4 linked regions of the Yarrowia lipolytica genome follow. The protein of the gene in region 1 purifies or fractionates together with the protein of each later gene. This does not show direct contact. Links are inferred from orthologs where the notes say so. Each region holds a gene or a part of one and is shown in the gene's direction. Other genes may lie near its edges.

Region 1 (7,551 bases):
CATGGACCCACGCCCGCGGGAATCGGAACGACTCAGCCCATGCACGCGGCTGCTCTCAGCCTCACACGCGCCCAAAAGTGATGTACAGTTACACTCCCAACCTTGGGTGCAATTGCATTACGTGCATGAGTCAGCCGCAGCCTGCCGGTCGAGCCTATCCGTTGTGTGTGTGCCCTGGTCCATGTGATATTTTCCCTCAGCTGCAGTGTTATGCCCTTGCATTACCTCTTTCATCCTCTCCCTCCACCCCTGGGAGCCACCCGTGGCACCAACAGCCGTTTTTGCCACCACATGACTAGCACCAACCTTTGTTCTGACATCGCATGACCTTTATGCAGCATTGGGACAAGAGCGTTGAGCTAATTTACCCAAAAATGAAGAAAAACGGCGATCACAGGGCAAAGGCAAAAATGCCGGCTGCATGCGGCTTTGACATGCGAAACCAGTGTGGAAAATAGGAAATAGGGGCCCGGCCCAGCATGCAGATGGAAACTGCACGCGCTGACGACCGACGATGATTTAGAGTTGAGGAGGTGAGCGCACTACTGTGGGTCTATTTTTAGATGCGCACCAGACAGAGCTCCATCTGTCTGGAAACGCGTGGAAGCTCCGTGCGCAAGGGTCCTAGTGAGGCCTTTTTCTGCCGTTTTCTGGGAGAGCATCCCAGGACTCGCGCCAAATACGAATGATTACTAACCCAGAACACCACTTCCAACTTCACCTCCAACCTTCCCGACGTGTCTAAGATCACTGACGCCGCCAAGGAGGCTCAGGGCGAGGTCCAGGAGATTGCCAAGGACGCCGCCGCCGACGCCAAGGACGCCGTGACCCAGGCCGAGAACAAGATCAACGAGATTACCGGCTCTGTTTCCAAGGAGGCCACTGAGGCCACCGATGCCGCCAAGGAGGAGGCTAAGGACGTTGAGGCCAAGGCCACCGACGCTGCTGAGGAGGCTCAGACCGAGGCCAAGGACGCTGAGGCTAAGGCTGCCGACAAGGCTGACGAGGTTGCCGAGGACGTCAAGGCCAAGAAGCCCAACGCCCTCAAGCGACTGTCCATGTCCTTCAAGAAGTTCGTCAAGAACGTCACCGCCTAAGCTTGTCTGTCTCGTTTCTGACATATCTGGTTTTGGGTTTTATCTTTTGCCCGCTCATCTGTTTTCGTCATGGTTAATTTTGGCAGGTGAGTGTGGTCCGGTCACTTCATTGTAACATCACGCACATTAATAATACATGTCTCATAGGGGTTATTTGTAACAAGTACGCTACGAGTACAAGTAAATAATGCTAAATACTGTAGCACAAAGTGGACAGTGGCTGTCATGGTCATGGTGTTAGTGTGGCTTAATTTTCGCATTGTGTTAATTACGTGCAGCATATCGATCTAAATATAGATTTTGCGAGAGATGTGTTGTGAATGAGCACATTGCACATTGTGTACACATACCTGCACAACTGTACTTGTACTCACTGTAATAATAATTGTCTAACGAGCGGCACAAGCGTGTCACTGTGTTGATTAACTTCTGGTATGCAGGCCCTCGCGTGTGTGTGAGAGATAAGGAGGTCCTTTTTGAATTTGGCGAGTCACGAGAATTAGATTTTTCGCAGCTCGTTTTTTGCTCTACCAGTAGCTGGTGATGGTCGTGTCTCCCACCGGTGGTTGGAATACAGATGTCGTGTTCATGTCCACGTTTGCTTGTTCCGTTTTTTTCCGGTGCCCAGCTGGTGGGGTCTCTTGAAAGACGGTATAATATCTCGAGGGTGATTAAACATGATACTGTAGTTAGTGTAAGGCACTTGGGGGTGTCAAGTGTAATGGCAGGTTAAAAGTCCATGGTGCCGTCCAATAATTAGTTAACACGTATGATCTGACATGATCTGAGACGATCTAAGAGCTGAGAGCATGTTGTGAGCATGAGGGGAGGATGATCATGTGGATTGGATCAGGCGTGTATGGGTAGATATATTTCAGCGTTTTTAATTTCAGCGACTGTTGGTATTTGACTGGTGGTATTTGACTGTTTTATTTTATTCGTCTGGATAATATATAGTGTTGTACAGCAGGTGAATAATTAGTGTAATTTCCCGTTTGAGAAAGCATTTTATTAATAGGGACTAACAGCGAAGGGATACAGAACAGTAGTTACAGCCTAGTAGCTACCAGTTAATGTACTTGTACTTGTACTTGTGCGAGTAATTAATAAATATTGGCACTAGGGCGACTGTCCATCATCAGTCCATGGGCCAGGACTGTAGCCATATGGATACTCATATATGTATCGTATGTACTGGAGACACCGCAAAACAAGCTTGGCTCCCGTCATTACCCTCCCGAACAATGTTACATTTGATTTGGGCAGTTCTTGTGCATTTTGACGGTCGTGTCGCCGCATGTCCGTGTCGGCTGCTGCAAGATATAGATTTTGTGGTGCGTAATTCCTGCTGACCCTCTCTTCCGATCTAGATTGATTCAGGCGGGGATTACTAAGCATTATACCTGGGGAGGGGCTCTCCGTCTTCGGTGTCTTAATATATATCATCTTTGTCACTTGTATGTTCTGTTTGTAAGCTACCAAGGTTATTCTAGGGGGACTGTATTCCTTGCAAGCACTATACTATAGCTACAGTACATACGAGTGAATGTACCAGTGATACTGGCACCAATATGCAGTGTAGAGAGAGTGCACTGTAAGGTGAGTGTGCGTGGAGAGAGCGTGACAAGAGTTAAGGGGGGTTTGTGGGAGCGGCTTTTGGAGGGGAAAAATCGGTTTTTTTGCCCCAATGAAAATGCCCAGATGGCAACCACGGCCAACAGACACAAATAGGGACCCGGCGCCTCCCAGATAACCTCTGAACAGTCATCAAACTGCCCAATACACATTCCAGGCAGTAGTCGGCGGGTTTTGCCTTTTTTGCTCTTGTACCCTAACCCTTCCCAACCTGATTTTTCCCCCTCTCCCACCACCCATCGTCGTTGAGAAACGTAGCCCCTACCACATACAACCACCCTCTCGACCCCGGACATAACACCCCGAGAGCGAGCGGCACCAATCTCCACTAACCAAAGTTTGGCCGGCCCAACAAGCGACACTTACTCCGGCGCCCACGTCACCTGATTAGAGTACTTTATTTCTTGTTTTCTCTGGACACGCTTCAATAAACAAAATCTACCAGACTCTACTTTCTAGCGACCACAAACATCCGCACCCACATTCCAAAATCAACAACTTGTTTCGACACAAGCACAAGCTCCAAATCGCCCCTCACGGACCAAGACATTCCCCCGACCGTCGACCATGTCTTCTAGCAACTCGGTTCCGTCGCTTCTACAGTGAGTATTGTCTGCCGCGACAGGGCAGCTGTCGTGATGCGGTATGAGATGAGGAGGGTGATGAATGACAAAAGGAGATGGATGGTGATGGGTGACAAGGGTGGCAGTTGATGTGATGATGATGGTGATGGTGATGACATGCTGACGATGACATGCTACGCTGTTGAGGTGTCAGTCTCTCGCCGCTGCTATCGTCGTGGCTGTCCACACCCACCATCTCATGACACTTGACTTATGTGACTGCATCATGTGCGATGTGATATTATAGATGTCACCGGCAACGAATGGTCTGGCGTTGCACTTTCCTCCGCGGAGCAGCCGTGGAACCACCCGATGCATCCCCCCCACGCTTTGCTGCTGCATCAAATTGCTCGCACTATTGCTCGCACGATCGCCCATCCCACACATCAACTAATCACACACATACTAACCCAGCGACGTGAGAATTGCAAACAAATTCCAGATCCGGCGAAAAATCGGAAGCGGATCGTTCGGCGACATTTACTTGGGCGTCAACATCATTTCAGGCGAAGAGGTGGCCATCAAGCTGGAAAACATCTTCTCTAAACACCCACAATTAGAGTACGAGGCGCGGGTGTACAAGACTCTGGCCGGCGGCACCGGCATCCCCTTCATCCGATGGTTTGGCTCACAGAATGAGTACAATGCGTTGGTGATGGATCTGCTGGGCCCCTCGCTCGAGGACCTGTTCAACTTTTGCGAGCGACGATTCTCGTACAAGACGGTGGTTCTTCTCGCCGACCAGCTCATCACCCGACTCGAATATCTGCATGCCAAGTCGTTCATCCACCGAGACGTCAAGCCCGATAACTTCCTCATGGGCATCGGCCGCCGAGGCAACCAGGTCAACATTATAGATTTTGGCCTGGCTAAGCGATTCCGAGACCCCCGAACCCATTTGCATATTCCCTACCGTGAGAACAAGAACCTGACGGGCACGGCGCGTTATGCCAGCATCAACACGCATCTGGGCGTGGAGCAGTCGCGTCGAGATGACCTCGAGTCGTTGGCATACGTGCTCATCTACTTTATGCGTGGCCAGCTCCCGTGGCAGGGTCTCAAGGCAGTAACCAAGAAGCAGAAGTACGACCGGATCATGGAGAAGAAGATGACCACCAGCACAGACACGCTCACCAAGGGCCTGCCCAACGAGTTTGCCATTTTCTTGTCATACTCGCGATCGTTGCGATTCGAGGACCGACCAGACTACATTTATCTGCGTCGCCTCATGAAGGACTTCTTCATCCGATCCAACTACCGATACGACTACGTGTTCGACTGGACCGTGTTCCGATACAGAAAGGTCATCAACAGCATGGGAGGCCGAGAGGGAGCCCAGCAGTCGCAGCTCACAGCCGGCCAGGGTCAGGACGAGGACCCCAACAAGCAGCAGCAGCAGCAGCGGGACTCCGCTTCTCCTGCCGCCGCCGGTGCTTCTCAGGGAGCCTCCAACTCGCAGGTGAGTCTGCAACCTCAGCAGGCTCCCCGAGCCGGTGGCGAGGCTCTGGCAGCAGGTGCCCAGGGCCAGGGTGTGCCTCCCCAGCAGGGCATGCGAGCCAAGACTCCATCCCAGCGGCCAGATCTCAAGACCCGAATTGGAGACTGGGACATTCCTCCCCCTTTGCGACTTTTTGACATTGAGAACCAGCAGCTCGATTACTACGACGACAAGAAGGCAGATACCGATCAGTCCGACTGGCGAACACGGCTACGACGGGAGCAGCAGCGCATCCAGGGTAGCCCTACCAGCCAGGGTAACAGCGGCGCTGCCGGCTCAGGCACCGCTCCCGGTGGGCCTCAGCAGGGCGTTCCCCAGCAACAACAGCAGCAGCCACAGCAACCGCTGGGACAGTTTGGACAGCCCGGTGCATCGGCTCCTCCTGGACAAGGTCACGACGACTATGGCGCTACTCCCTGGATCTAGCGGAGTTGGCATGAGTGTGTGACTGAACCAAAATCTAGTAAGTAATAATGTGTCATGAGTTAGAAGGTGACGGCTATGTAATTAAGTGATTATATTTAGCGAAGACGCGGGTGGTAATGTTGTACTCACGGTACCTTTACGAGTATAGTATGTACTTACAACTACGGTTGTACCAACTTGTACTTATTGCTGATGTTCGGATGAAGGGGTGTGTGTGAAGTGTTCGGCTATATGGCTCGGCTCATTGGGAGGACTGTGAAAGTTGATTTTTCAACAAAAGAGAAATCGACACGTTTCAAATAACTTTGGCGTGGAAGGCGTTGGTATGTATGGAACAGAACACACGAGTACCGAGATTTACCAATAATTATTCTGTCATTTTCACGTGATCCAAACGGACTCAGGTCAGGTGTGACATTTGGCGCTCCGGCTACCCCACTTTGGGTGATAATATGCATGCAAGCGGGTTGAGTGTATGTGGATCCATCCTGTGCCAGACGGTGGGATTATGCTGGCTTATATGTGGTATATTTCTGAAGGTTTCCCAGGCTAGAGAGCATTATTTGACATTGATTATTCTCCTGGATGGTCCCTTTTTCGTCTCTAGACGCCGGCTCGCGTAGTTTGCCGAGTTTGCACTGCTTTCATTTCGGCTGTACCTGTCTTTGCCGATGGTGCATGAGGGGTGCATCAAGGTTCGCAAGTACTACAAGTAGTAGATATCTCGGGATCGAACAAACCATCATCTCTTCACTGAACAGACAACATGCCCAAGAATCTCAATACTCGATATGGTGACGAGCTGCACTCGTACTACTCCGGCAACCCTCTTAACCGGCTGTCGTGGCTGCGGGAGGACTATGCCTTTCTGGACAAGGTGCTCCATTCGAGCTACACCAAGTTCATTGTTCTGGACGGACTGTGTCCCCTGTTGATGAAGATTCCCAAGGAGAAGCGGGAGGGCCGGCAGAGTCACGACGTTGTCTATGTTGGCTATGAAGACGTCAAGACCATTGTTGGCGAACCCTTTGCCAAATCCGAGGCTGACTTCATTTCCGGCTGGTCGTCCGAACGAGACGCCGTGGGACGAGGACGAGCGGCTCTGGTCTTCCTGGGAATTCGAGAAGAGGCCGAGGGAGGCGATCCGGCAATTTCCGAGACCACCAACGGCCGGTTTCACGGAGTGGCGTACTTTGCTGTCGATGTTACGGTCACACAGATCCGAAACGACGACCTGGCTGAGCGAGTTCGAAAGGTCGGAAACGAGCTCAAGGACAAGCATCCCGGCTCCGACTACACCTCGCCACAGATCCAGGCTCGTCTGGGAGGACCCGTGGACCCGTCTGCGTTTGCCCAGGCCCGATGTTACTTGGACTGGATCGAGCGAAACCAGTTCTGTGGAGGATGTGGACATAAGACCATGGTGATTAACGGTGGCAACAAACTTGTGTGTCCCGAGAAGGACAATGGTGTGGAATGTAAGGACTGTCCTACTCGGGGACGTATCACCTACCTGTCATTCCCTCGAACAGACTGCTGTGTGATCATGCTGGTGGTTAACAAGGAAGGAGACAAAATCCTGCTGGGACGGTCCAAGCGGTTCCCTCCGGGCATGTACTCGTGTCTGGCCGGCTTCATTGAGCCAGCCGAGTCTCTGGAAGATGCTGTGCGAAGAGAGGTGTTTGAGGAGTCTGGAGTCAAGGCCAAACGGGTGGTTGTCTATGGCACCCAGCCCTGGCCCTTCCCCGGCAACATTATGGTCGGATGCATTGCTCAGGCCGATCCTGATGACCCCACTTCCGAAGAAATCAACCTGGGTCTGGACCCCGAGCTCGCAGATGCCCAGTGGTTCTCCATCGAGGACGCCAAGGGCTGGCTCAAGAAGGCCGAGACGTCTCGAGGTCTGCGACGGGGCTCTTCGGCAGGACAAGACGAGGTGTATCTGCCTCCTCCTGAGGCAATTGCCTTCAACCTCATTGACGCGGTGGTCCACAAGAACGTGCTGGCTGAGAACAAGGCCCAATTGTAGGCAAGTAGAGACGATACAGCCAGTAGATATATGATAGAATAACCACAAGGGTACATGTAGGCAAAGAGTGCATACCTCGAAAGAGTGCATACCTCAAAGAGAGAGCAAACTGCACTGAATGTAGCGTAAGAGTACTTGTATAAGGAAATAATCCGCTGAGCAACCGACAGTGGAACTTCGTCCATGCACTTGTTTCATATTATCGAAAAAGTACATACTGTATAATACTTGAAGTTCATATGT
Region 2 (9,486 bases), on another chromosome or scaffold:
GCTCGGTCAGCAGTGTCTCCTGCTCGCTGCCTGTGAGGAAGTTGGTCACGTCTCGGACCTTGAATTGTGTCTTGGCTCGCTCCAGCTCCATCTGGGCCGGAGGCTCGGTGAAGGTGTCGTACTCCTTGCCTCCAAGGATCACGTTGGTGGGGTTGTTGTTCATGTTTGGTTTGATGTAAGAATTGGTAGTGTAAGTGTAGAATCAATTTGCTATCTCGGGTAGGTCGGTATATATATACTTGTGGTATTTCACTGCACATGGGGTGCATCTTTACGTTGTGTGGGGTACATGAACAAACCAGTTTAGCCTGCCTCGGCTCATGCATTCGGGAGACAGCCTTTGTGAAAACGTGACTTGGGGAAATCCGGGGATAAGCCCCACATGATTTGCAAGTCTACGACATACACGCTTGGTTCTTGGTCGCTGTGTCGAGCCGGAATCATGCCATATGCGATCAGCGTTGAACTGTATCCCTGATACGAAACCTAGCCAATACCGAGGGTTACCAATAGCACATGTCTACTGTACGATACTTGCACCGATAGATCCGGTTCCGGCAGCTGAGACCAATTGAAGCAATTTCGGGTACATCTGTAAAGTCGACATTTTGCCCATGTCTCTTCCAGTTGGACTTGGCCAGTCCTTGACGAAAATGCTCACAATGGCCCGAGCCGCATGCTCCCAACCTTATCACAAAAGTCAGGCGGTTTATCAGGCCACAAGCAGGTCAATCAGGTCATAACCTTGCTGGTTTATATACCCCAGAATTGCCACTGCCGAGGCCGAAACAAAACCAGGGGAATCCACGTGCTTATGGGGACGATTGTGATTTCTACATCGTGACTTTGCTTTGAGTGACGACGTGGTGGTCGTGCGGGGCCAGAGTCTCCACCTCTTCTGATGTGTATCTCGCTGTTATCGGAAATAAGGATCTTGGCATTGCTCTGAATTTACGCGGATCGATATCAGCCCGGGGCTACTAGTACGACATACTGGAGCTCTGAATTTGTCGTTTCAATGCCAAACATCTCAATCGAACTACCCACCAATCACAATCACAATCACAATCAAATAACCCGGAGAATCCCCTTGGAAATCTCCATTTCCCCAGACCAACATGGTTTCGGCACTCCAGGCCATGGCCTGGTTTTTGAAACCGTTGAAAGCCAACCTAAAGACGACTGAGGAAATGTCCGATGCCCTAACCTCGAGGAAGCCGGGGACGAACTGCTCACCTTAGCGAAGATACAAGCATTCTTGGGAGTCCACCATTTGATAGCTGCCACCCAATAAAGCACCATCGGAGCCGTGTATACATATTGCGGGGTAAATTCCTGATGGTTTGAGTCCTTTTCAGGTACAGTACCGTATGTACTCCTTGTGTACAGTATGTAGCCGGCACTAAGATCACCTTCAATGTTATTGGTGAGGCTCAACGTTTGTGCCGAAGCCGGGAGAATTGCCAATAGACTATGTCACGTACGAGTACCGGTACAAGTACAGTAAGGCGAATGTGATGCTTTCACATGTCTATTCGCACCGTATTGAATTGAAGTTATAGATGGTATGGTGTGGTGTGATCCTTGAGGTATTAGGGGTTTGTACGTCATGGGTACCGAATGCCTGTAGCGGTACAGTACATGTACATTACCTGTATGTGATCCCATACAGATGGTACGTAATGTGTTTTTGCACTTTCGGCTAAAGTGGTGTCGTCTGACTTTGTGTATTTTTACACATGCTCCTGTGTTTGCTTTCCTACTCCGTGTTTAATCTGGAGATTTTGATGCAGCCTATGTAGTTCCATTAGTGCCTCCTAGGCGAAGAAGCATGCTCTTCGAGAAACAAAAACAAACGAGTTCGTCCTCGTAGAGCATGATGCAATTGACGTCACGGTCGTGGATGATATGTGACATGGAGTCGCTCTCCAAATCGAATAGAACCTGAGACCCCGCAAAGCTCTTGATCAACAGGTACTTTCCAAAGCTATATGTCTTGGACGCAGCGTAATGCACGGGGTTGTTGATGATGCGACACAGATATGTTTTTCCCTCTTCAGCATTGCAGTATAGCTGGAAGAGCTTCATGTCCTTGCACAGATAAAGATACTCACCATGCACAGCAAAATTGTGTGGAATGTCGTAAGGGTGGCAGTCAAATAGAGGATGCACAGTGTCGGAGTCTCGACCCACCACAAATAGCTTTGTGGCCTGCGGTCTTAGCGACATGAGACTGGTGGTTGTGAAGAAGGCGTGTCCATGGACGATGTGCAATCTGATGTCTACTAACTTGCGACCGGCGAAAGGTAGTCTCAGAAGTCTGTCACCTCTCAGTAAGAAGACCTGTCCTTGACGTCTCAATAGGGCAAACAATTTGCCGCCCACCACCGTCTGGTGAGAAATGTCTCCTTCCGGAACATCAAATTTCTGACCTGTGTAGGTTTTCAGCCCTCCTTCAACTACCTCGGGATCACCTAGCAAGTATCCGTCCATGACCTTTTCAGCTCTCAAAGTCTGGCAATTCACTCTTGTTACCTGCGGTTCAGTCACATCACTGCTCATAGAAGGCGACATGTAAATGCTTCCATCCCCTTCTGGTGACACCCGAAACATGGCGCTATCCAATTGCGACCGTTGGGTCTCAAACATGACCTCTCCGTCTGGATCAACCGCCTCTTCGTGTTCAAACGCAATGTCGAGATCGGCCTTGAATTGTACCGAGGGAAACGCTGCGAGAATCTCGTTGGTGTCGTAGCTATTGATTTCCGTATATGACTGCGGTTTTGTCACTAAGTACCGTGCTGTGGCCTCCCAGGTCTCTTTAATGGGCTCTGTGAGCCAGGGACATATGCTGGTGGCTGCTGCCTTGAAAAGCTGGTGTTCCAAAATGGCTTGTCGGAAGGCCGAGCATGTTTCACTGACGTTGATGAGTGACTGTGTATCCAGCCGAGCGAATATTTGCACACTGAGTTCGGTTGGAAGACGAGACATTTGGCACTCTCACGATAATGTCACGATTCTGAGAAAAAAGGTAGCGCCGCTTGCATGAACTTCATGCATGGTTATCGTGCTGAGTGAGACTAACAGATGAGGGGCGTCTGAGCGGTGTTGGGTGCCTAAACTAGGTGTGTTTACACGACGTGGACTAAAAGCGGTTGGCGATTAATAATGGGGCAATTGTCCATCTATATAAGCGGAATCTCTGTCCATAGGAGGAAATAAAGTCCAATGACCCAAAGCAGACAAACGGCTTCCGATTCGGTCGGCTCGGAAATTAGTGTTTATCTCAAAATATGAAGGCTGCTGGAGCCCTATTCATGTGCTCTCAAATATCCACCGTACAGTGTCATAAAGCGCAAAAAACAAAACAAAAATAACAGATACAAGTATCTCAAATATTTAACGATGTGAAAATTGATATACTTGCACAAACCCCCGGGAAATATCACTGTACACCTCCTCAAACACAACCTATCCACGGCACTAGCTACCCCCCACTCCCGTTAAAGTTCACGAGGGATCATTTTGAGGAGATAGGCTGTGACGTTTGCCATACAGCCACTCCCAACACGTGACCTACAGTTCATGACGCTGCAGATGCCAAGTCTCTCCCCGTAAACACCGCAACCACAGCCACGGCCAAGTGAGTACCCCTGAAAGGACCATTGAGGTCAGGTGACGCCATGAGTAATTCACTAACACAGATGTCAATCAACCTCACGCCGGAAGAAAAAAAGCTCTACGGTTCGCTTTTCAAGACCGCCGACAAGGAGAGTGTCGGCATCGTCACCGGAGAAGACGCCAAGGTGCTGTTCCAGAAGTCGTCGTTGTCGCCTGCGATTCTCGGCGAGATCTGGCAACTGTCCGACACGGAAAACTCGGGCTTTCTCAATCAGATTGGCTTCTCCACAGCTCTTCGACTGATTGGCCATGCTCAGTCCGGAGCTCGAGTGTCCGCTCAACTCCGAGACACGCCTGGTCCTCTGCCCAAGTTTCAGGGCATTAATCTGATAGAAAATCAGCGGGTGGCCTCTCCAGGCAATGCCGCTTCTCCTATCCAGCATCGAGTCGCTTCTCCTATGCAACAGGGTACTGGTGCTCAAGGAGGCCTTCCCCCTCTGAGCCCCCAAGATAAGGCCCGGTTCGCTCAGCTGTTCTCTCAGCACGCCCACAACGGTCTTGTCGAGGGTTCTGCGGCCCGAGACATTTTCCTCAAGGCCCGTCTCCCCCACGAGACTCTGGGCCAGATTTGGAACCTGGTGGACTCCCAGAATCGAGGTTCTCTCGACCAAGGAGAGTTCATTGCCGCCATGCACCTTATTCAGAGCTCCATGAACGGCTCCATGCCCCAGGTCCCCGCCCAGCTGCCCCATGGATACATTGAGAGCGTGCGTCCCCAGTCTGCCCGAATTTCATCTGCCAGTTCCGTCATGTCCACGGGCTCCAACGCTGCAGGTCCCGGCGTCATCAGACAGTACACCGGCCAGCAGATTGGTCAGGGCAACGACTGGAGCATTTCTCCCCAGGAACGACAGCGGTACGATGGTATTTTTGGTGCTCTCGACAAGAAAAAGACGGGTCTGATCGGTGCCGATGCCGTGGTGCCCTTCCTGACCACCTCACGACTCCCTGAAGCCACTCTGGCCCAGGTGTGGGATCTCGCTGATTTCCATAACCGTGGCGAGTTTGGCCGAGCCGAGTTTGCCATCGCCATGCACCTGGTTCAGCAGAACATTGGCGGTCGAGAACTGCCCCAGCAGCTGCCCGAGTCCCTTCTTAAGGAGGTTCAAGGTCAACCCCAGCAGCAGCAGCAGCAGCAGCAGCAGCAGCGAGTCCAATCGCCTCCCATCTCACAGCCCAAGCCTGCGCCCCCCAAGTCTGCTCTCAACGACGATCTGGTCCAGCTCAACGACCTGTTTTCGTCGCCTCCACCACAGCAGAAGCAGTTTGTGCCCTCGTCCGACTTTGGTCAGAAGATCAACAAGTCCGTCGAGGCTCCTCAGTCACCCATCAAGTCGCCTATCCAGGCCCCCGTCCAGGTGCCTACTCCTCAGCAGATCCCTACTCCTACTACCCAAGGCAACCCTGGCCCTCCTGTTGCTCCTCGAAACATCCACTCTGACGATTTGTTGTCTTCCAACTCGGAGTTGTCTAACAAGTTGTCCACTGCGTCTACCGACTTTGCCAATCTGTCGAACCAGATCGGCTCTTTGACGTCCCAGACAACTACCATCAAGGACCAGCGAGCCAAGGCCGAGAGCGAGCTGGCCGCCATGCAGACGAAAAAGAAGGACATTGAGGCGAAACTCGCCCAGCTGCGAACCCTGTACGAGACCGAGGTCGCCAAGGTCAAGCAGGTCGAGCAGGAACTCACTGCCGCCAAGGCTGATACTGACAAGGTACAGCAGGAGTTTTCTATCGTCGACGCGTCTTTGCACGCTGTCCAGTCGCAGCACCAGCAATTGTTGTCCGCTTTTGAGGCCGACAAGGCCAAGAACGCAGAGATCAAGGAAAACATTCGGTTGGCCAACGAGGAGGTCAACAAGACAAAGGAGCTGCTGGCCACGGCCGAAAAGGAGGCGAAACACCAAAAGAACCTGCTGTCCATCAATGACAAGCAGCGAAGTGCGTTGATGGAGGAGCATGCCAAGATGCAGGCCCAGATTGACGCCCATAATGCTGAGGTTGAGGCTGCAAAGCGGGAGCTTGAGCGACGAGCCCAGGAACCCGCTCCCGTGGCTCCCGACATGTCTCGGATGCAGGCCATGCCTCAGGTCCAGCCTCGAGCTGTTCCTGCTCCTGAACATCGGGCGTCTCCTAACAACCCTTTCTTTTCTGTTGCGGGAGGTGCGGCTCTTGGAGCAGCTACTGCTGGTGTTGCTCATGCTGTCCACGGTGTTGGAAACGCTGCTCAGGGCGCTGGCAACGCTGCTGCTGCTGGACCTCCCCCTGTTTCTTTTGGCGGACAACCCCAGACCCAACCCAAGATGGACGATTTCGACGAGGCTTTCAGCCAGATGGACGCTTCACCCTCGCAGGCTCCTTCTCAGGCTCCCTCCGACACCCCCATCTCGTCTGTTCAGTCTGATTTCAATGAGTACCAACCTGAGGCTGCAGGTTTCACTCTGCCTCTCGCACGACCACATTCTTCCACCTCTTCTGTCCAGAACAACGCTCCTCTGTCCGTTCGAGGCGAGAACTTTAGCCGACCCGACTCTCCTGTGTCCAACATCACCCGTCTGAGCGACTCCACTGCCCCCATTCCCTTTGAAGGTTCTCGAGAGCACGATGAGGTGGTTAAGACAGCTAACTCTGGTCTGACCGGTGATACTATCGAAGCTCATGCTTCGCACCCCAGCATCGCCTCCAAGGAGACTGTTTCTGAGCCTCAGAAGCCGGACGTTGATGGATTGACCGCTCAGTTCAAGAGCACTGAGCCTTTCCCTGAACAGCCCTTTGTCCAGCCTTTTGGTTCCAACCCCGCTTCTCAGCCTGCTCCTTTCAACCCCCCTGCCCAGTTCACTAGCGAGCAGCCTCACCCCGAGACCAACGCTGCGCTCGAGCAGTTCACCGACAAGGCCGTTTCGGACCAGCCCGAGTTTGAGAAGGCCGCCGAGCCCTTCCCCGACCAGCCGTTTGCCCAGCCTTTTGGCCCTAACCCTACGCAGCTGGAGGAGGACTCTGGCAACGAGTCATTCGAGTTTGTGTCTGCTGACGAGAACGAGCACTCTATCAACGAGATGCCCCGTCGAGACAAGGGCAAGGCTGTGGTTGACGACGACTCTTCTGACGATGACGAGCTGGAGGAGATTGGGGTCAACCGGTACAAAAACTACCAGCCCAAGGAGGTGCACCATGACGATACTACGTCGGACGTGGTTACTCCCCAGCACGAGATTACTCAGCCTACTTTTGCCCCTGCTGTTGACACTGCTCCTGGTCACTTCCCCGACCAGACTGCTGTTCACGATACTGCCCCTGGTCATTTCCCTGAGCCAGCTGCCGCCCCAGCCTCTTCTCAGGGCTTTGCTGCTCCCACACAAGCATACCCCTCTGCTGCCGAGGAGAAGGCTGCTGCTGCTGCTGCGTCCAACAATGACAAGGAGCTGCCCCCCAACCCACCCACATATGACGAGAGCGAAGGCCCCGGCTCTCCTCATCATGGTGGCTCCACTAACGGCTTCTTCGGTAACCAGCATGCGCCTGCTGCATCTGCTAACGACGACTTTGACGACGCGTTTGCCGATCTTGAGGACACCAACGTGGAGGCCAACAACTCGATGGACCAGTCGCAGTACAGCACCGACTTTAACAATGCGTTTGACGACATGAACCAGGCTCCTGCGCCCGCTAATCCTCCTGGAAACGACGAGTGGGAGCAGATCTTCGCCGGTATGTCTTCCGGCCCTGCTCCAGTCAGTGCTCCCTCTGCTGCTCCCGTTAGAGCATCTTCTCCTCGATCTCGAGCTGTTCAGGAGCTGACCGGAATGGGTTTCTCTGAGGAGAAGGCCAAGCGGGCGCTGCAGAAGCACAAATACAACGTTGCCGAGGCCACTAATTACCTTTTGGACCAGAGCTGATCTCTTTTTATGATGATATGTAAGTAATTCATTAATGTTTAAATGTATTATGTGATTATAAAAAATGCAGTACTTTCACCGTAGCGAGTAGTGATGATGGTGGAATTTACTGTAGACTACAACTACGGTATGTACTCATACAATACTTTAAGTAGCTACCTGTAGCTTCTGGTTGCACGGCATGGACCACATTCTGTGAGACTGTGACCTTTATGGTCAGATAGTCCAATAATGCCGTATCTGCCGCTTCTATGTTACGTTTTGAAGCTGTACGTCATCTGTTGTTGCTAAACGTGGAACAAATAAATAATCTATTAGTACAGTTCACCCCTCCTATAATGCCTTCCAACTTTCGTACAGTTCTGCCCGCTCAGGCATCTCCTGAGTAGCAGCTGTGGCCTTTGAAATATCCGATGTCACCTTGTGCAACTTGTCGAGCGATGTATGGACTTGGTCGTTGTTTTCCTTGATCTTTTGTCGGTATTCATCATTCTCCTTCTTGACTGTCTGTGCCAGCTGTTTGAGCTTTTTGATTCGTGCGAGTTTAGTTTCCCGTAGATGGCTCTTGATGATTTGATCTGGCGTCAGTCTATCGACATGGATAGGCAGATCTGTGTTTGAATTCATTCTGAGTCTGGCGTCTTTGACCAATTGATCCAACTGGGCCAGTTTCTCCGGGAGATGTCGTTCATCGAAGATCGCGTCGAATTCCGTTTGTACTGAGTCCGTCCACGCCTTGCAGATCTGCTTAAGGGCTTCTCTGAGTGCCTCCTGACCAGCAGGAGTCTTTGCAATGCTTGGATAACACGCCGCCACTCGTTTGTAAGTGAGCGACTTGACTGCATGGGCCAGTGCTGTGGACGAGGATGTGACTAAACGTCTGTAACGTGCTGATTGGGGGATTGCACGTGTATTGGCTGTTGTGGTTGTTTGTCCCTCGGTCGCTTTTGTTGTTTGTGTTTCGTTCACTGTTGTTATTCGTCCTTCGCTCGTCGCTTGTGATTCACTGGCTTGTGTCTGCCTCTGTCCCTCCCCTGTGTGTGTCTTCATGGATGTCGCTTCCACTTCAGCTACACTTATCTCCATGGTTTCTGGGTCAGGTGTTGATGTAGACAGTGTCTCGGATTTCTGCGTCTCAGTCTCCTGAACAGATTGTGTCTTTTTCGTGTGTTGTGTCCCGTCTTTTTCCATGTCCATATCCTTCTCCGTGTCTTGTTGTTTTGACGTGTTTTATATCTGCCGCGTTTTATTTACCAGCCTTGCACAATCTGACGCGTTGCATTGAGCGACTTAATGTGCAACCCCACGACTCGAACCCCCAACGCCAAATGCTGTACAGTAGCTTCTTTCATCTCCAACCCAAACCCTGCCCCCGTGCAGTTAGCGTCTGTATGACGTACATACAAACCTCCACACCTAGATCGATCACCCCCATACCACGCAATGTCAGACGTCACCGCTCTCATTGCTAGAGCCGATAAAAAGATGACCTCCTCCGGAGGCATGTTCTCATTCATGAGCGGCGGCTCCTCGACCCGATTCGAAGAAGCAGCAGACCTCTACACCGAGGCCGCAAACCAGTACAAGTTACAGCGTAACGGAAAGCTTGCTGGAGAGTGCTTTGAGAAGGCTGCTGACGCACAACTACAGTCCGAGAGCAAGGACGAGGCCGCCAACTCGCTGCTCGAGGCTTACAAATCATACCGGTCCAACTCACCCCAGGAGGCCGCCAAGTGTCTGGAGAAGGCCATTCAGTTCTTCACTACACGTGGTCAGTTCCGACGAGGTGCCAATTACAAGATGGAGCTGGGAGAGCTGTACGAGAAGGAGCTGGAGGACATTCCCAAGGCCATGGAGGCCTACACAGATGCCGGAGACTGGTTTTCCGAGGACCGAGCAGAGACTC
Region 3 (7,649 bases), on another chromosome or scaffold:
ACAAAAGAATGACAACTGACAGATCACGTGTCTTGTCGCGGTTCTGGTTTGTCGCGGTTCTGGTTTGTCGCGGTTCTGGTTTGTCCTGATCTGGTCTTGTCGCAGAAGCAATAGCTGCTATACTACACCCTTCTTTTAACGTCATCCCTCGTATCTCATCCAACACTACCTCCTCCAACGTTACACTGCCGAGTCTTGCACCTACTCTCAAGGACCCACCGCGTATCACCACCGCCGATCAGGGGGCAGCCGATAAGACGTTGGGGACACCGTCTGCCGGCATAGCCCAGGCCGTATCGATGAGGTGGATCTGAGACGGGGGTATTCAATGTTTCGTATGTCGATGCAGTACGAGACCGATATTGGTAAACCGTGGATGGTGTATTCGTACAGTACCGGCCATCTTTCAAGTACAGTACATACTTGTACTGTGCTCGTGCCCATACAGCACTTCATCGCACTGTATCGTACAGTATGAATGTCGGATCGGAACCCGATCCACCTCATCGCCCCGAACTGGAATAATTAAACCCTCGCACCCCCGCTGAGACAGAAAAAGAAATTCGTGCTGCCGAAATTGGTCCACCATACGAGGTTGCTACAACACAATAAGCGAGCCAGTGAGCGCTATTTCGGGAGAACCGCGGGGTTGCACCAGGTCATGTGATCTCATCTTCCATGATTCGGTACCGTCACGTGAGTTTTGGCGAAACTCAACTCCCCAATATGGCGTCTATATGGACATGCTAAATGGAGGAGAGATAGGAAGAATACCACATATGGTGCATTACTTGTAGTAGGTAAAGAAAGCTCAAGTAAAGACGGACGCCACCATACAGCACACGGGGGTCAAGAGGCGTCACATACCCCAACAATAAGACACCAGCCGGTCCAAGACCTCCCACGTTCCCCTTGTTAAATCTTTAACAAAATCAAACTATAATGTCAAGTAAATTACAAGATATGCACCACGTCACCCCATTCGATCTTTGAAGATTCCACAGATTCCACTGACATCAGAACACAAGCAGTAGGTCTATTTTCAATGAGATTGGCAATAACACAATTATTGTACCGTACCGTCGCCACTAGTCCCGAGTGGCCACCTTCCATGAGATACCCCATTGTCTTCAAAGAGATCACCTTCAGATGTATCGTCACAACATCACAGGTAACTGAAACAACGCTCAACCGCCTCACACACATACAAATACCCGGCGGTCGCTCCCATATCGGACTCATTACGCCACTACGTCCCACTGTTCGTTCTGTCATCAATAAAAATGCTATTACAATGCTATAAGGTCATCAAGACGTCTATGCCAATCCCTCGCAAACTGTGCGAACCGTTGCAAACGGCTGCAACCAACACCATGAAAGACTCGTACATACTCTGTATGTATCCTATGCTCCAGCTCGAACTCGTAAGCACTCGCTTCGCGCGTACTCTGCGGCTCGTTCGCTTACTGCAGCAACTCGTCTCGGTAATGCTTCTGGAAGTTGTTTCGTCGCAACTCCCATGCATCCTTCCTGTTGGCAACCCGCTTCTCCTCCTTCCAAATCTTCTTCTGCTCTCTGAAAGCAGCAGGGTCTCTGACATCGGGCCGTCGAATGTCCACAGCATTGACAGTGGCTTGGCCGTCTCGAGGCTCGGGCTTGAGAGACTGTTTGTAGTACCGGGCCATGGATCTGTGTCCGATTCGTGCACCGGAGGGCAGAGCCAGCTGGGTGCCGGTCTCGTCGGTATAGAGCATTCCGTCGTCGTACTCGTCGTCGGAGTTGATCTCCTCATCGTCATCCTCCCAGTCCTCATCGTCGTTGGCCACGGCATCAGAAACAGGCAACTTCTTATCATAGGACGAGGTGAAGTCGTAAAAATCTCCCAGCTCGAGCTTCTCGTCCTCAGACTCATAGGGAATTCGCACGTGGCCCTTCATGAGCATGTGCTGTCTCACAGACTCGAGCGATCGGCCCACAAAAGAGCACGACAGACACTCAAAGCCGAGACCGACCTTCTGGCCCAGGTAGGACATGAGCCCGGCGAGATCGGTAAGATACTTCTGCTCGGGAATGTACAGAGAGTACTTTTTGGTCATGTGCTCAACGTTGGCTTCCACGGAGTCGTTATGCACGCCGCACACCACACAGTCCGTGTTGGGGATGGCTCGTCGCAGTGCCAGCTTGTTGATGGTATCTGTGTCGAGATGCTTGACGCTCTGCAGGGTCTCTTCATCGAGATTAAGGTGCTTGAGCTTTGTGTTGAGGTCTTCAGATAGGGAAGAAGACACATCCGAAGACTCGTCTCCGTTTGTGGCAGTCTCGTGGATGGCATCGCCCTCAGTGGGAGTATCAACGCCCGAGCCGTAGCCCAGAGAAAACTCAGACGCCTGGGACTCGGTGGGGGATGAGGGTCGCACGACTCGTCGGGCCATCCGCTCCTGGTACTTCATCTCCTTCTTTGTGATCTGCTTCTGTCGTCGCTCGGGAACAGCCTCGGACTGCTGGAGCACCTTGGACGCAAACACGTTGGCAGCGATGGGCAGCAGACCGGCCACCTTTCGCTTGAGATTGTATCTGTGCCAGTCCGTCTTCATGTGTTCACGCTGCGTTTCCGAGTTGGGAAACTGCTGAACACACGTGTTGCATGTGTATGTTGTTGACATGGTCGTTGAAGTATTTCTGTCTTGTCGTAAAAAAATTGTGTTGGTGGAACACTGCTAAGTCATGAGAAGATAGCCAAGTCTATATAAGAGATACCATGCAAAAAATTCAGAGTATCTAAACCTAGTTGCAAACCTTATGCAAGTATGATCGCAAGTGTGATTCTGGAGCAACCAAGATATGAGGGGGATAGCGCGGACTTGTCAACACAAGAGTGATACCAGAGTGACCGTCTCGCCTCTCCGAGTCGATCGGTGGTTTCAGATTGTTCTTAGCTTCCCCACACACCGAAATGTACCTGAGCCACTCTCTCCGCCTTGATCTACGTCTCACCCATCTTCTAGATGATTCCTAACAGCATAGAAACTGCAAGTGTGACTAGAAAAGAGCATCGGAGACGGCTGAAGTCCATGGTGAGTTCCGAATGGACTCTATGGGATCGATAGAGTTGTTGATACTAGTATTTCAAACGGAGTGTGGCTGAAACATCCCATATGCACGGCTGGAAGGTGGGATACAGTGGAGGGAGGGAGGGGGAGCGAGGTGTTGGCTATCTGAGCGTTTACTCCTGCTACTGTCCACTCTGAAGATCTACAGCCAGATGCTACAGTATAAAGGCTGTATGTAGTTTCGCTGTCTGCTTTTTGTATGCGCAAATACCGATATGTACTTGTAGAAAACATTCTAGCCCGAATCCAAGTCCGTGATATCAACGGAAATCAAAAGATTTCAAGCGATAATGACCCTTTGACCTATCAGGCAACCGCCAAATCATTTACAGTGTCTACCGGTATTCTGTTCTACAGTTTCTATCCTCTCCATTGCTTCTCTATCCACTACTTGTAGATCCCTCCACCACTACTCGGACGAACAGAGCTTCCAGATGGAACAAGAAGGAAACACGGACTTTTTACCAAGAATGAAGCACTCTATTCAAGAAAGAAACACTCCGTTTAAAGGTCTTGGAGATGCTAAAGCTCCTATGTACGGAGTATGTACTTGTACGCTTCTTCACGCCAGTCTTAAGTCGAGATAATACTTGTACCAGTCCGCCCAGCCAAAATCCCGCCTCAAGCACCGGCTACAAATGTGCAAGTAGTCTGACAACTGCCCGGTATGATGTCCGTCTCTCCATCATCTCCGTCACCGTCAAACCCCCAGCACTTCCCCAGTGGTCCTGCCGCTTCGAAAGAAGTACTAGTAATGTACGTACAGCAGGAGATCCCGTGATGCAGACTAGGATACGAATACGAGTATGTACATCTCTTGTACTGGGCTTGTATATACACAGAAAGGTACAAGTACAAGTAGCATCAAGTTGCCACATGAAGCACCTTTCTACAGTCGGTCTACAGTCTACAGTCATCGTCGGCTACGCTCAGGATTCGCTCAGTGACATAGATCTACTACGCTCGTCGACTAGTCGAAGAATAATTCATTTTTATTGATAAATACTCATGAGAGACTTATCGGAACTTGGTGAAACCAATGTCAGCAGCCTTCTCTCGGAAGGACTGTCGGCAGAGGTTGAGGCCGTACTTTCGGATAACAGCGTTCTGGTTGTTGGTGATTCGACACTTTCGACCGCCCTTACCGTAGTGTCGGGGGTGGGAGAACCAAATGTTTTCGTGAGCCATCTTAGTTAGTAAATGTGTGTGTTTGAATCTGGTGTTTTACGATGAAGCCAGCGGATCGGAAATCAACCACCTTCATATAGAGAAGGAACCGGCAGATTTTTGCAGTCAGAGTTCCGGTGGCAAATGGTGGCAAATGCGGGACTCAGACATTGGTGGGGGACACACACACGAATCATGTCATGATGCTGTTCACGACCAACGACAAAATTCACACAATCCCACCAGCCATGCCCGTGTTGACCTCGTCGTTCCGGCAGCAAATTCCCGAACGCTCGTTCATCGTCGTTTCGTCGGTTTTCACCTCGCGTTCCCTCAATCCCTATCGCTTTCAGTACCCACCTTGAATATCTGTCGTGGTTTTGGTGTCAAAGAGAAGTTTCAGAAAATCGATAAATGCTCCCAGCAGGACTGCAAACTCTGCGTTGGGAAATTCACGTGACTAGGGTTTAAAAAAGTAGGGTTAATTGAGAAGTTGTGGGTTCGATTCCCAACGGTGGCCATTGTCGTCAGTTCGATTCCAGGCACCGTCAAAACTGCCATAAAATAAACTTCTAAAGCTTAAAAATATTCGTGCATGTGCAGCCAAAATTTCGACCCTCTATTCTTCACATACGACGACATTGGATAACGAAATGCACTCACATCGATCCAGTAAAAAGTCGCAGAAGCCATTCAAGTCCAAGCATGCGTCCAAGGGCTCGATCAAGGCGTTGAACAAGGGCAAGATCGAAAAGGCGTCTGCCGGAAACAAGGCAGTCAAGACTATGGGCAAATGGGACCGGCGGAATCAGAAGGACCAGATTCGGGCTGCCAAAATGGTCGAACTGGCAACGGACCGTAAGCTGTTTGACGGCAAGAGCGGTGCCCCCAAGATTGTCACTGTTGTGGGCATGAGCGAGGACGTTGACGTGAATGGGCTGGTGTGCAAGATGATGGGTCTTGAATCTCTGCAGTCCAAAATCAGCACACACGAAGTCGAGCGATTCAAGCAGAAGTTCACGGTGATCACCCCGTCGTTGGACAACTTTCTGGAGGTTTTGGACGCTGCCCGAATCGCCGATTTTGTCATCCTGGCCTTCTCTCCTGTCGCTGCCTTTAACGACTCGGAGTACATTCTCAAGTGTGTTGCTGAGCAGGGAGTGAGTAATGTCATCTCTGTAGTCACAGAGACCGGAATGCTCACCGACAAGAAGCGCGTCGAGCGAATCGACGAGATCAAGACCTTTTCCGACTACTTTTTCCCCCAGGACAAGATTTTCGATATTGAGAACGCCACCGACTGTGCCAACCTGGTGCGAAACATTGCGCAGAAATTCCCCAAGGGTGTCAACTGGCGTGATCAGCGTGCTTTTGTGCTGGCTGATAACGTCCAGGAGGTTGACGGCCAGGTGTGCGTTTCAGGCGTTGTTCGAGGCAAGGGTTTCAATCTTCTGAGAACTGTTCATCTTCCCGGATACGGCGATTTCAAGATCGCCAAAGCTGAGGTGTTGAAGCATGGACAGGCCGAGTTGGTCATTCCCGGTGAGGACGTTTTGGCCAAGAATGACGGTGACGATGAAGATATGGACATGGAGGAGGATGACGTCATGGAAGAAGAAGAAGAAATCCAAGACCAGCAACTGGGCGTAAAAGTCGACGGGCATCATTACTTCCCTGACACGGCGCGAGAAGCCATGCAGGAAAAGTACGCCAAGCGCCGAGTCCCCAAGGGCACGTCTGAGCAGCAGGCCAAGTGGCTCATTGACGAGACTCTCATCAACTCTGACGACGAGTTTGAGGATGAGCAGATGGAGGAAGATGAAGTTGATATGGATGCTGAAGATGGCGCTCACGTTGAATTTGACATGGACGAGGAAACACGTCAGTTGGAGGAATACAAGAGCCTCCGAGAAGAGCTCGATTTCCCTGATGAAGTCGAACTCAAGCCTGGCGAGTCAGCCAAGGAGAGATTCGCAAAGTACCGAGGAATGAAGTCGCTTCGAAACTGGGATGCCTCTCAGGATGACTACCCCGAGGAGTACAAGAATTGCGTCACCTTCAACTACAACGCCATGAAGAACCGGGTTCTCAAGGACTCCACAGACCTGCAGCCAGGACAATACGTCAAGCTTTACATTGAGGCTCCCGTCAGCATTGTGTCCGAGGCCCAGGAACACGCAGACTCGCCGTTTGTTGTCTACGGACTGCACAAGTACGAGTCGGACCAGGCCGTGTGTCATGTGACTATGAACCCCTGTTTTGACCAGGAAGAGACAGCTCCCATCAAGTCTAAGGACGAGCTCATTTTGCAGCTTGGACCTCGACGACTGGTTGTAAACCCTCTCTACGGAACCGAGTCTACCATTGCCAAGTTTGACCGGTTCTTGACCCGGCCCTGTATGGCCACATACATTGGACCTGCCACCTTTGGCAATGTTCCTGCCCTGTGGTTCCGAAAGTCGGAAAACGGCGCGATGGAGCTAGTTGGAACCGGCTCGTTCGATTCCACCGACCCCCGCAAGATGCTCATCAAACGGGCCGTGCTCACCGGCCATCCCTTCAAGATCCACAAGAAGCTCGTCACCATCAGATACATGTTTTTCAACCCCGAAGACATCAACTGGTTCAAGGCCGTGCCGCTCTTTACCAAGATGGGCCGATCGGGCTTTATCAAAATGTCTCTAGGTACTCATGGATACATGAAGGCTACTTTCGACCAGCATCTTAACGGAATGGACACCGTCGCTATGGCTCTATACAAGAGAGTGTGGCCAAAGGTTGCCAGAGAGTTGGAGTAGACAATTATTAAATGCATTAACAGTTCAATTAGCAGTCCAGTTGCTCGTAGAGAGTTGAACGGCCACTACTGCACACTCAGCACTGTAGCATTCAGGTACATGCCCTGGTAGAGGGATAGAGATAGGATGAAGGGTAGTTTTCATGGGGTGATTTATGGAGTTTTTCAAGATGAGCACAACCATCTTTACACCCAGTCAGTACTCTGAAAGCTGGATTGTTCAAGTACAATCACCCAAGTAAAAAACCATGGTTGGGTTTTCAGAAAATGTCAAAAAAATGTCACATTTGGCCATGTTCTCGACTCAAGAAAGGGATTCAGGACACAAAAAGTAATCTAGTACTGATTTTATACCCACCAGTGTTCTTCTCATGTCTCTGGCATGCCTGGAAGTTGTGGATTGAGCCCCAGTACAACTTCTGGCATAACTAATTTCCAACTAAATTTAATGAAGGTTGATTGCAAATTACCAGTAGTAAAAAAAAAACAAACCAAAAAACAAACAAACAACAGTATGAATACCCAATACACATTCGAGAGAAACAGCGCTCCACTCACGCCTGTCGGAGCAATTG
Region 4 (6,759 bases), on another chromosome or scaffold:
AAGACACACCAAGGCTGGTTGTATTAGCAGCAGGGAACGAGGATGATATCGACAACAATGATGGACACAATGCGGAGGATACAGATCACGACAAAGAAAGGTTGGAGGGAATCGCGACACTGTGTCACCAGATGGAAGTGGCTATTGAGTACACTGAGCTGTGTGAACAAGTGATTGGACATATCGACGCGGAAATTAGTCAATGCATGAGCACGGTCTTTGAGATCAAGGAGAAACGGCTCGAGTCTAGTTTCACAGGGCAGATTTCTGCATCCCAACTCGACCATGTGGCCAAAGAAGTATACCCTTGGTTGACTCGTCAGGACAAAAGTATCAAGGAGACCTTCTGTCAACTCAACGATACCAAGATTAAGCCGCTGACTGTGTCTCTCGGTTTCATTCCCGAGAGGGTGGCCCAGTTCTCTTCCAGATGTGAGCCCATTTTCCCGACATTTTCATCTCTGGTGAACATGAACTGGACCAATCTGGAACAGCAGTGGCACAATCTTAAGGGGGAGTTTGCATTGGTGAATGAGGAGTTGTCGACCAAGAAATGGTCTTCGATTCTGCAGTTGGCCATCGACCAGCTCGGTGAAGATCTCGACGCGGCATTACTGACTGTTCTCCAGCGAGTCTGCAACGACAAGAACATGTTTGTGGAGGAAGTTAAGGTTCTATCGACTAAGAGACTGTCTACCAACTCGTCAATCTTCTCCGAGTGCTCTGAAACCACAGAGATATCGGATCATGGAGCCATCTCGCCACGGCTGTCATTCGCACCCCAGTTTCCCGTCAATAGAAGACTGCATATGCGAGTTGTGTCTCTGGACAGATTCTCACCCAAGCCTGTGATCAAACGACACTCAACCAGCGAGAATCACGTACTTCGAGATATCGACAGCAGCAAATTGAACCAGCAAATTGAAAGCGACAAACAGCTTCAGGAGCGAAACGACTATGCAAACATATCCTCTTCTGATTTATCCAACTCTTCTTCTTCGTCAGTGATTGTGTCTACACCTGACTCAGACGCACTGGAGGCATCGGAGCCAGTGGTACCTCTCAAAGACATTCAGTTGCCTCCATCCACCAGTTCACACAAGAAGTCTCCGTTGCATGATATGAGTGTCATCATGGAGACGTTGGAGTCTATTGAGTCTCCTACAGCTTCTCTAGGCGAAGGGACCACTTTGAGGGACTCTAAGGACTCAAAGTGTGGCTGCAACAGCGGACCCATTCCCAATGCTGCCATTTTCAACAAGTTTAGAAGTCTCAAGACAACTAAATCTTTCATTCCCGTTACTAACTCTCCAAACAGACTGCTCCACAGATACCCCCAACTGGGCAGCAAACCTTCCACTCCCGATTCAGCATCCATCTGCTCGCTATCATCTTGTTCCGATACGTCTTTTGGATCATCTATCGGTTCTACTTCTACAGTGAAGCTAGGTGAGACTCCTTCTCTTCAGCCTAACGGTTCAAGCAGACAGTCTCTCATTCCCCTACCTTCTCCAAACCGGCCTGCCAGCCGATCGTCATCTAGACTAGGCTCCTACGCGACCCCCTTGGCTACTCCTACTCGAAAGCCTCGTCTGAGTTACTCAGGAACTGGAGCTGCCGGTCTTTCAGGTATGCGGTCGGTTAGCGACACCCCCGTCCTGACCGACGCCTCTAGGCGACGTAGCGAGTCCAGCACAAGCAGCAACAGTCGCCGAAGCTCCTTTCTCCCTTCACCTGTGAAGCGTCAATCTCTGATGCCTCCCAGTACTCCTCGAGCAGTGTCAAGAGAAGGATACAACTCGTACCACTCTGGACGAGTGTCTCGGGAAGGCATTAGAGGTGCTTCTTCTCGTGATGGTATGTCTCTTGCCAACGCTGGCGTGCGTATCGCCAAACCAGTGGTCCGGTAGGAATTCTCAACCATAGATCGCGTTGACCGTGGCCTATGGTGGGGACGTAGCTTAAGGCTTTGATTCTAAGTGTGACAGGAGGTCGTCCCCTTGACTACAAATCACACAAAGCCTTTGACCAGGAGGATTGTTGATGAGGTACAGGTACAGTACCGAGGGATATGGATCTTTTTTCAATTCTACAGTTTTCAAAGCGCTCTGGCAGTGCTACGTATACACACCATTTCTATAGCATCGAAAAATATATATTATATACAGAATACAGACGAATATGTGGGTGGATTAGTTGTTAGTCCTGCTGTTCTTGAGCCAGTCTTCATTTCCAAAGACCTTGGTGAAGATCTTTTCTTCGTCCTTCTTCTTAATCTCCTCAGGCGTGAACCATCGGATGCCCTCCTCTGTCTGTTCACCAATCTGAACGCGCTTGTCCTCTCCCATGTATAGACGCTTGTAGAGAATGACTGACGAGAGGACCACAAAAGGGAGCGACAGCAGGATCATCTTGAATCTGTGTTAGAAGTCGAATAATGAGAGCAATGTCAAAACACAGTTCACCCAAGCTTAGCACAAGTGTACCGCAGTGTATCACAAGACTGTGGTAGCGTCTATATACCAAGATCCTATGGCGCGACTGTGAGGCAAAAACCAGTAAACAAAAAAGCTTCAAGCTCTAGTGTTGGTTCTCTAGAGCGGTACGTTCATCGTATCTGTGTCGCTGTGGCAAGGTCTGTGTACACTCCAGATCATCAATACTGCTCTCTTATTGCACCTCCCTCCTTCAACTCACCCTCGAGCCTTGTCGGCAGGAACCAGCATGTCGACTGGCAGAGGTCGTGGTTTGCTCTTCAGATTTGTGGGTCGGCTGATTCTCTTGGCCATTGTATTGTGTTGATGTGATGCTTATTCTACCATGTCACAATCTTGCATATCTCTACATTCTGATAGGTTAAGAGTTAGTTGGAGTTACATTGTGAACTTGATGTTTGGGGAAGGGCTGATTAAAAGTATGCCATTCTAACAAAATCGGGTGTTTGCAAAGGAAACGCTCAAAACAATCTTCTTTGATTATTAAGGCACTTCTGGGGGCGATTCTTTGTGCATGCTCAGTGCCATGCCAGTTAGCTTTTTCTGCATGCATGAATCGAAAATAAATTTTGGATCTTTTTTTTCAGTTCACAAACCACTATACAACAGCATAAGAAAATGGCCAAGGCACCAGCAAAGAAGTTCTCCGGAGGCGCCCAGAGGGAGTCTGCAGGCGGCGAGCAGCGAAAGACTGCCGTCTTCAAAATGAACACTGATCTCGGTCAGCATATTCTTAAAAACCCTCTGGTGGCCCAGGGTATTGTCGACAAGTCCGACATTAAGCCCAGTGATACCGTTCTGGAGGTCGGTCCCGGTACTGGTAACCTGACTGTTCGAATTCTCGAGAAGGCTCGAAAGGTGATTGCTGTGGAGATGGATCCTCGAATGGCTGCCGAGCTGACCAAGCGAGTGCAGGGCAAGCCTGAGCAGAAGAAACTGGAAATCATGCTGGGAGACTGTATTAAGACAGAGCTTCCTTACTTTGACGTTTGCATTTCCAACACACCTTACCAGATTTCTTCTCCCCTGGTTTTCAAGCTGCTGAACCAGCCTCGACCCCCGCGAGTGTCAGTGCTGATGTTCCAGCACGAGTTTGCCATGCGTCTTCTGGCTCGACCCGGTGATTCTCTGTACTGCCGACTGTCTGTCAATGTGCAGATGTGGGCCAAGGTTTCTCACGTCATGAAGGTCGGCCGAGGTAACTTTCGACCTCCTCCCAATGTTGAGTCTTCGGTCGTCAAGATTGAGGTCAAGAACCCCCGGCCTCCTATCGACTTCAACGAGTGGGATGGTCTTCTGCGAGTCTGTTTCGTTCGAAAGAACAAGACTATCAACGCCGGCTTCAAGACCAGCGCTGTTCTGGCAGTTCTCGAGAAGAACTACCAGACCTGGCTCTCCACCCAGGGCGAGATCATTCCTGAGGGATCCAACCTCTCTGACGTTGTCAAGCAGAAGATCAACAAGATTCTCACCGACACCGGCATCGGAGAAATGCGATCCGCAAAGTGTGACCAGACCGAGTTTCTCACTCTGCTGAATGAGTTCCACAAAGCTGGCATCTACTTTGCCTAAAAGGTACGATATTACGTTACTGTACACACAAAAAAGGTTAGAAGAAAGGAGAATCTTACGACATAGCCGACCTCCGGCGCTATTTATTGAATAAACGGTTTTCACTGTACCGCTGAACTAATGTTATTGTACTTGTACTGTACTCAGGGTAGCGTACATTACAGTATGTTAGTTGGGGTGTATGATGATATCACATAATTACAAATTGACCTACACTCATCACTTCCAATGAACTATTCATGCAATTAAATATCTATGTTTTTTATTTTATTCGTCATATACCTGTAACACATGTATGACGACAGTGTTAGGCCCAGTGTCCAACCAGGGACATGAGCAGCATTCCGAGAGTGAGCCCGACAAGGCCAACGCAGACTCGAAGAGGAGGAGCATCTTGGAGGTCACCAAACAGCCAGTCAAAGCCTAACATCTCTACAACACCAGCGTACACCAAAACTCCGCAACAGAGACCGTCGATACTACCGAGAGCCCACAGAGTGGTAGGGTTCTCTTCAAAGTGGTCAAGCACGCCAAGACCAATGGCCATGCCGATGGGGGTGATGATGGAGAACCACAAGCACATGAGGCACTTGGAAATGAGGCGAGACTCCTTCAGGCCAGCAATACGCGACCCTAGACCAACACCCTCGAACATTTGGTGGAACAGAATGGCAATAAACAAGGTGATGAAGGTGTCCTCCTCAGCAAGAGAGACGGTGACTCCAACCAGAACAGAGTGGAAAATGATACCTGCCTCCATAATCCAGACGGAAAACTTATCAGTGGGGTCAATGAGACCGTGGGAGTGGCATCCGCCGGCGATAGGAGGAGGGGGAGCAGTTGTCTGAGTAGTACTTCTTCTGACAGAAGAGGAAGAGAGACGAGAGGGAGCCTTTTCAATAACATCTTCGACAATCTCTTGAACGGGTTCTCCCCCATTGTCAGAGTCCTCAGTGTCTCCTCCAGTGTTGTCAATAATATGGCCGTGGTCGTGATCATGTCCGCACTTGGTCTCCTCGCAGTCTTGGTTCTCGTTTCGTCGAGCCTCTAGGGTGTTTGCTCTCCATCTCAAAAGACGGGCTCCGAGGTATTCAATGAGGAAGGAGATGAAGAGGCCAGCCAGCACAAAGGCCAGGGGAGTAGGCTTGTACTCAACCTCTCCGATGCAGGGGTTGTTGAACTCTTCGGTAGCCTCAGCTCCTAGATGAACGAATGCAGTGGACAGAACGACACCTGTGCCAAACTGTTTGATGAAGGTCATAGGGAGAGTTTCGAGATTGATTCTCCAGATGGATTCAGCCAGCACTGGAGGGAACACGCCCAGAGCAGAAGTACCGAGCACAGCAAACAGAGCACCTACTCTGAGACCAACATTGGTGTTTCTCTCCTTCTTGGAACAATCAACTTCTTCGATGATTGATTCCTGGGGGTCGGAATTGTCCACCTTGCAGATTTCTTCTCCTGTATCTTCGTTGGTTCTGCATATCAGACGTCGTCTGGAAATGTGAACCACGTGTTTGGGCTTGTAATTTCCCTCGGGCACTGAAATAGCCGAATCAAGTGCACTAGGATTTGTTCCTGCGTAGAAGTCTGACAAATCTACTGCTGTGGTATCTGCTGACGTCGCTGCTGTCGTGTGGATCAGCAATAATGGGAGAAATGAAACCAGTCTCATTGTGGAGATGGCTGTGTCGTAGAAAAAGAAGAGAATGAAGCGAAAGGCTCTGGGCTCTTATAAAAGTTCAAAGAACGTGTAATGTTGAAACTGCCGCAACTGCTGATTTGGTTGAATACTAGTATTATGGTCCCTTTTTTGCTGCTTTAGTCTATGCTTGGTCTCATCAGGTATCAGCCGCAGTCTTTATCTTAGTGCTTAATTTTATTGGCCCCGGGCAATAATGGTGACGAAGGTCGCTGTTGAAGTTATAGAAGCCCATGCTAATGTGCCAGATCATCTCTTATATAGAAAGGGACCAGGATCTGGCATGAGATATGGCCTTGTCCACTTAACGTATTTGATTGGGAAAAACACAGTACCGTCGGCTTGGCATACGCACATGATGTCGGTTGTCTGCATGAGTGCTCTGTTTTAGGCAGATGAGACCCTTGTTGAGTCACACTTTTTCGTGCAACAAGAGCCCATGGAGTTCCCCCGAATGTAATACATCTATTTTATGCCCGTTTAAATGCATATAAATGTATTAGCACCAGGTACCACCTACAGCCTGTGGACGTATACATGTATCGTATGTAGGTGGACGGCGGCACTTAGCGCAAATGTAGGTACGAATACTACCGTACATATATTGCCGTCCAATACGTGCCTCTTACATACTCACCGCTACTTGTAGTTTGTCCCATGTTCAATGCGGTTCAAATTTGTATGTGCTCGTACAAGGGCATGTAGTGGCACGAAAAATGTACTTTTTTTTTCAACTTGTTGCTACGTCTACTCCTTCCGGTCAAACCCGCCACAGCCCGGTCTATTCCGAAAAAGAGGGGAGCGAATTTTGTCAGGCCCACGCCAAGAGAAGATTTGGTGAATTTGCTCGGTCCTGCAGCGCAAAGTCAACCCCCACGACAACTGCATGCCAGAGATTGATGGAAATATTCGCCGTTTTCTCGCGAGGTAATATTGTCGGTCTTTGTCTCGTTGCGACTGTTCATTATTTGTCCCCAAGCCGCTTGTAAG

What was found.
Region 2: the proteins of YALI1_F11658g (region 1) and YALI1_C32921g purify together in Saccharomyces cerevisiae (affinity purification with mass spectrometry; 4 studies listed by BioGRID, with this or other methods). This does not show direct contact. The link is inferred for Yarrowia lipolytica from reciprocal best matches to the Saccharomyces cerevisiae genes HRR25 and EDE1.
Region 3: the proteins of YALI1_F11658g (region 1) and YALI1_B11794g purify together in Saccharomyces cerevisiae (affinity purification with mass spectrometry; 5 studies listed by BioGRID). This does not show direct contact. The link is inferred for Yarrowia lipolytica from reciprocal best matches to the Saccharomyces cerevisiae genes HRR25 and TSR1.
Region 4: the proteins of YALI1_F11658g (region 1) and YALI1_E01159g purify together in Saccharomyces cerevisiae (affinity purification with mass spectrometry, with the first as the bait; 3 studies listed by BioGRID). This does not show direct contact. The link is inferred for Yarrowia lipolytica from reciprocal best matches to the Saccharomyces cerevisiae genes HRR25 and DIM1.

The regions. Positions count from the first base shown.
Region 1 is NC_090775.1:1,162,051-1,169,601, reverse strand, and holds YALI1_F11658g (uncharacterized protein), read left to right. Parts: upstream 1-3,299; coding exon 3,300-3,334; intron 3,335-3,769; coding exon 3,770-5,279; downstream 5,280-7,551. Other genes in the region: YALI1_F11689g (uncharacterized protein), read left to right, coding at 702-1,097; YALI1_F11635g (uncharacterized protein), read left to right, coding at 6,046-7,308. UniProt on the Saccharomyces cerevisiae protein: Protein kinase which phosphorylates serine and threonine residues. Can use casein as a substrate. Phosphorylates elongator complex member ELP1/IKI3 on 'Ser-1198' and 'Ser-1202' which promotes the tRNA modification function of the complex.
Region 2 is NC_090772.1:3,288,500-3,297,985, forward strand, and holds YALI1_C32921g (uncharacterized protein), read left to right. Parts: upstream 1-3,683; coding exon 3,684-7,580; downstream 7,581-9,486. Other genes in the region: YALI1_C32886g (uncharacterized protein), read right to left, coding at 1-163; YALI1_C32914g (uncharacterized protein), read right to left, coding at 1,795-2,991; YALI1_C32972g (uncharacterized protein), read right to left, coding at 7,914-8,777; YALI1_C32975g (uncharacterized protein), read left to right, coding at 9,024-9,486. UniProt on the Saccharomyces cerevisiae protein: Functions at the internalization step of the clathrin-mediated endocytosis (CME) as an early-acting scaffold protein. Requires clathrin adapter proteins, ENT1/2 and YAP1801/2, for normal spatiotemporal dynamics and viability.
Region 3 is NC_090771.1:1,174,569-1,182,217, forward strand, and holds YALI1_B11794g (uncharacterized protein), read left to right. Parts: upstream 1-4,930; coding exon 4,931-7,075; downstream 7,076-7,649. Other genes in the region: YALI1_B11759g (uncharacterized protein), read right to left, coding at 1,290-1,431, 1,477-2,663; YALI1_B11781g (uncharacterized protein), read left to right, coding at 3,630-4,109.
Region 4 is NC_090774.1:112,344-119,102, reverse strand, and holds YALI1_E01159g (uncharacterized protein), read left to right. Parts: upstream 1-3,113; coding exon 3,114-4,067; downstream 4,068-6,759. Other genes in the region: YALI1_E01193g (uncharacterized protein), read left to right, coding at 1-1,910; YALI1_E01163g (uncharacterized protein), read right to left, coding at 2,193-2,418, 2,698-2,789; YALI1_E01133g (uncharacterized protein), read right to left, coding at 4,375-5,742. UniProt on the Saccharomyces cerevisiae protein: Specifically dimethylates two adjacent adenosines in the loop of a conserved hairpin near the 3'-end of 18S rRNA in the 40S particle.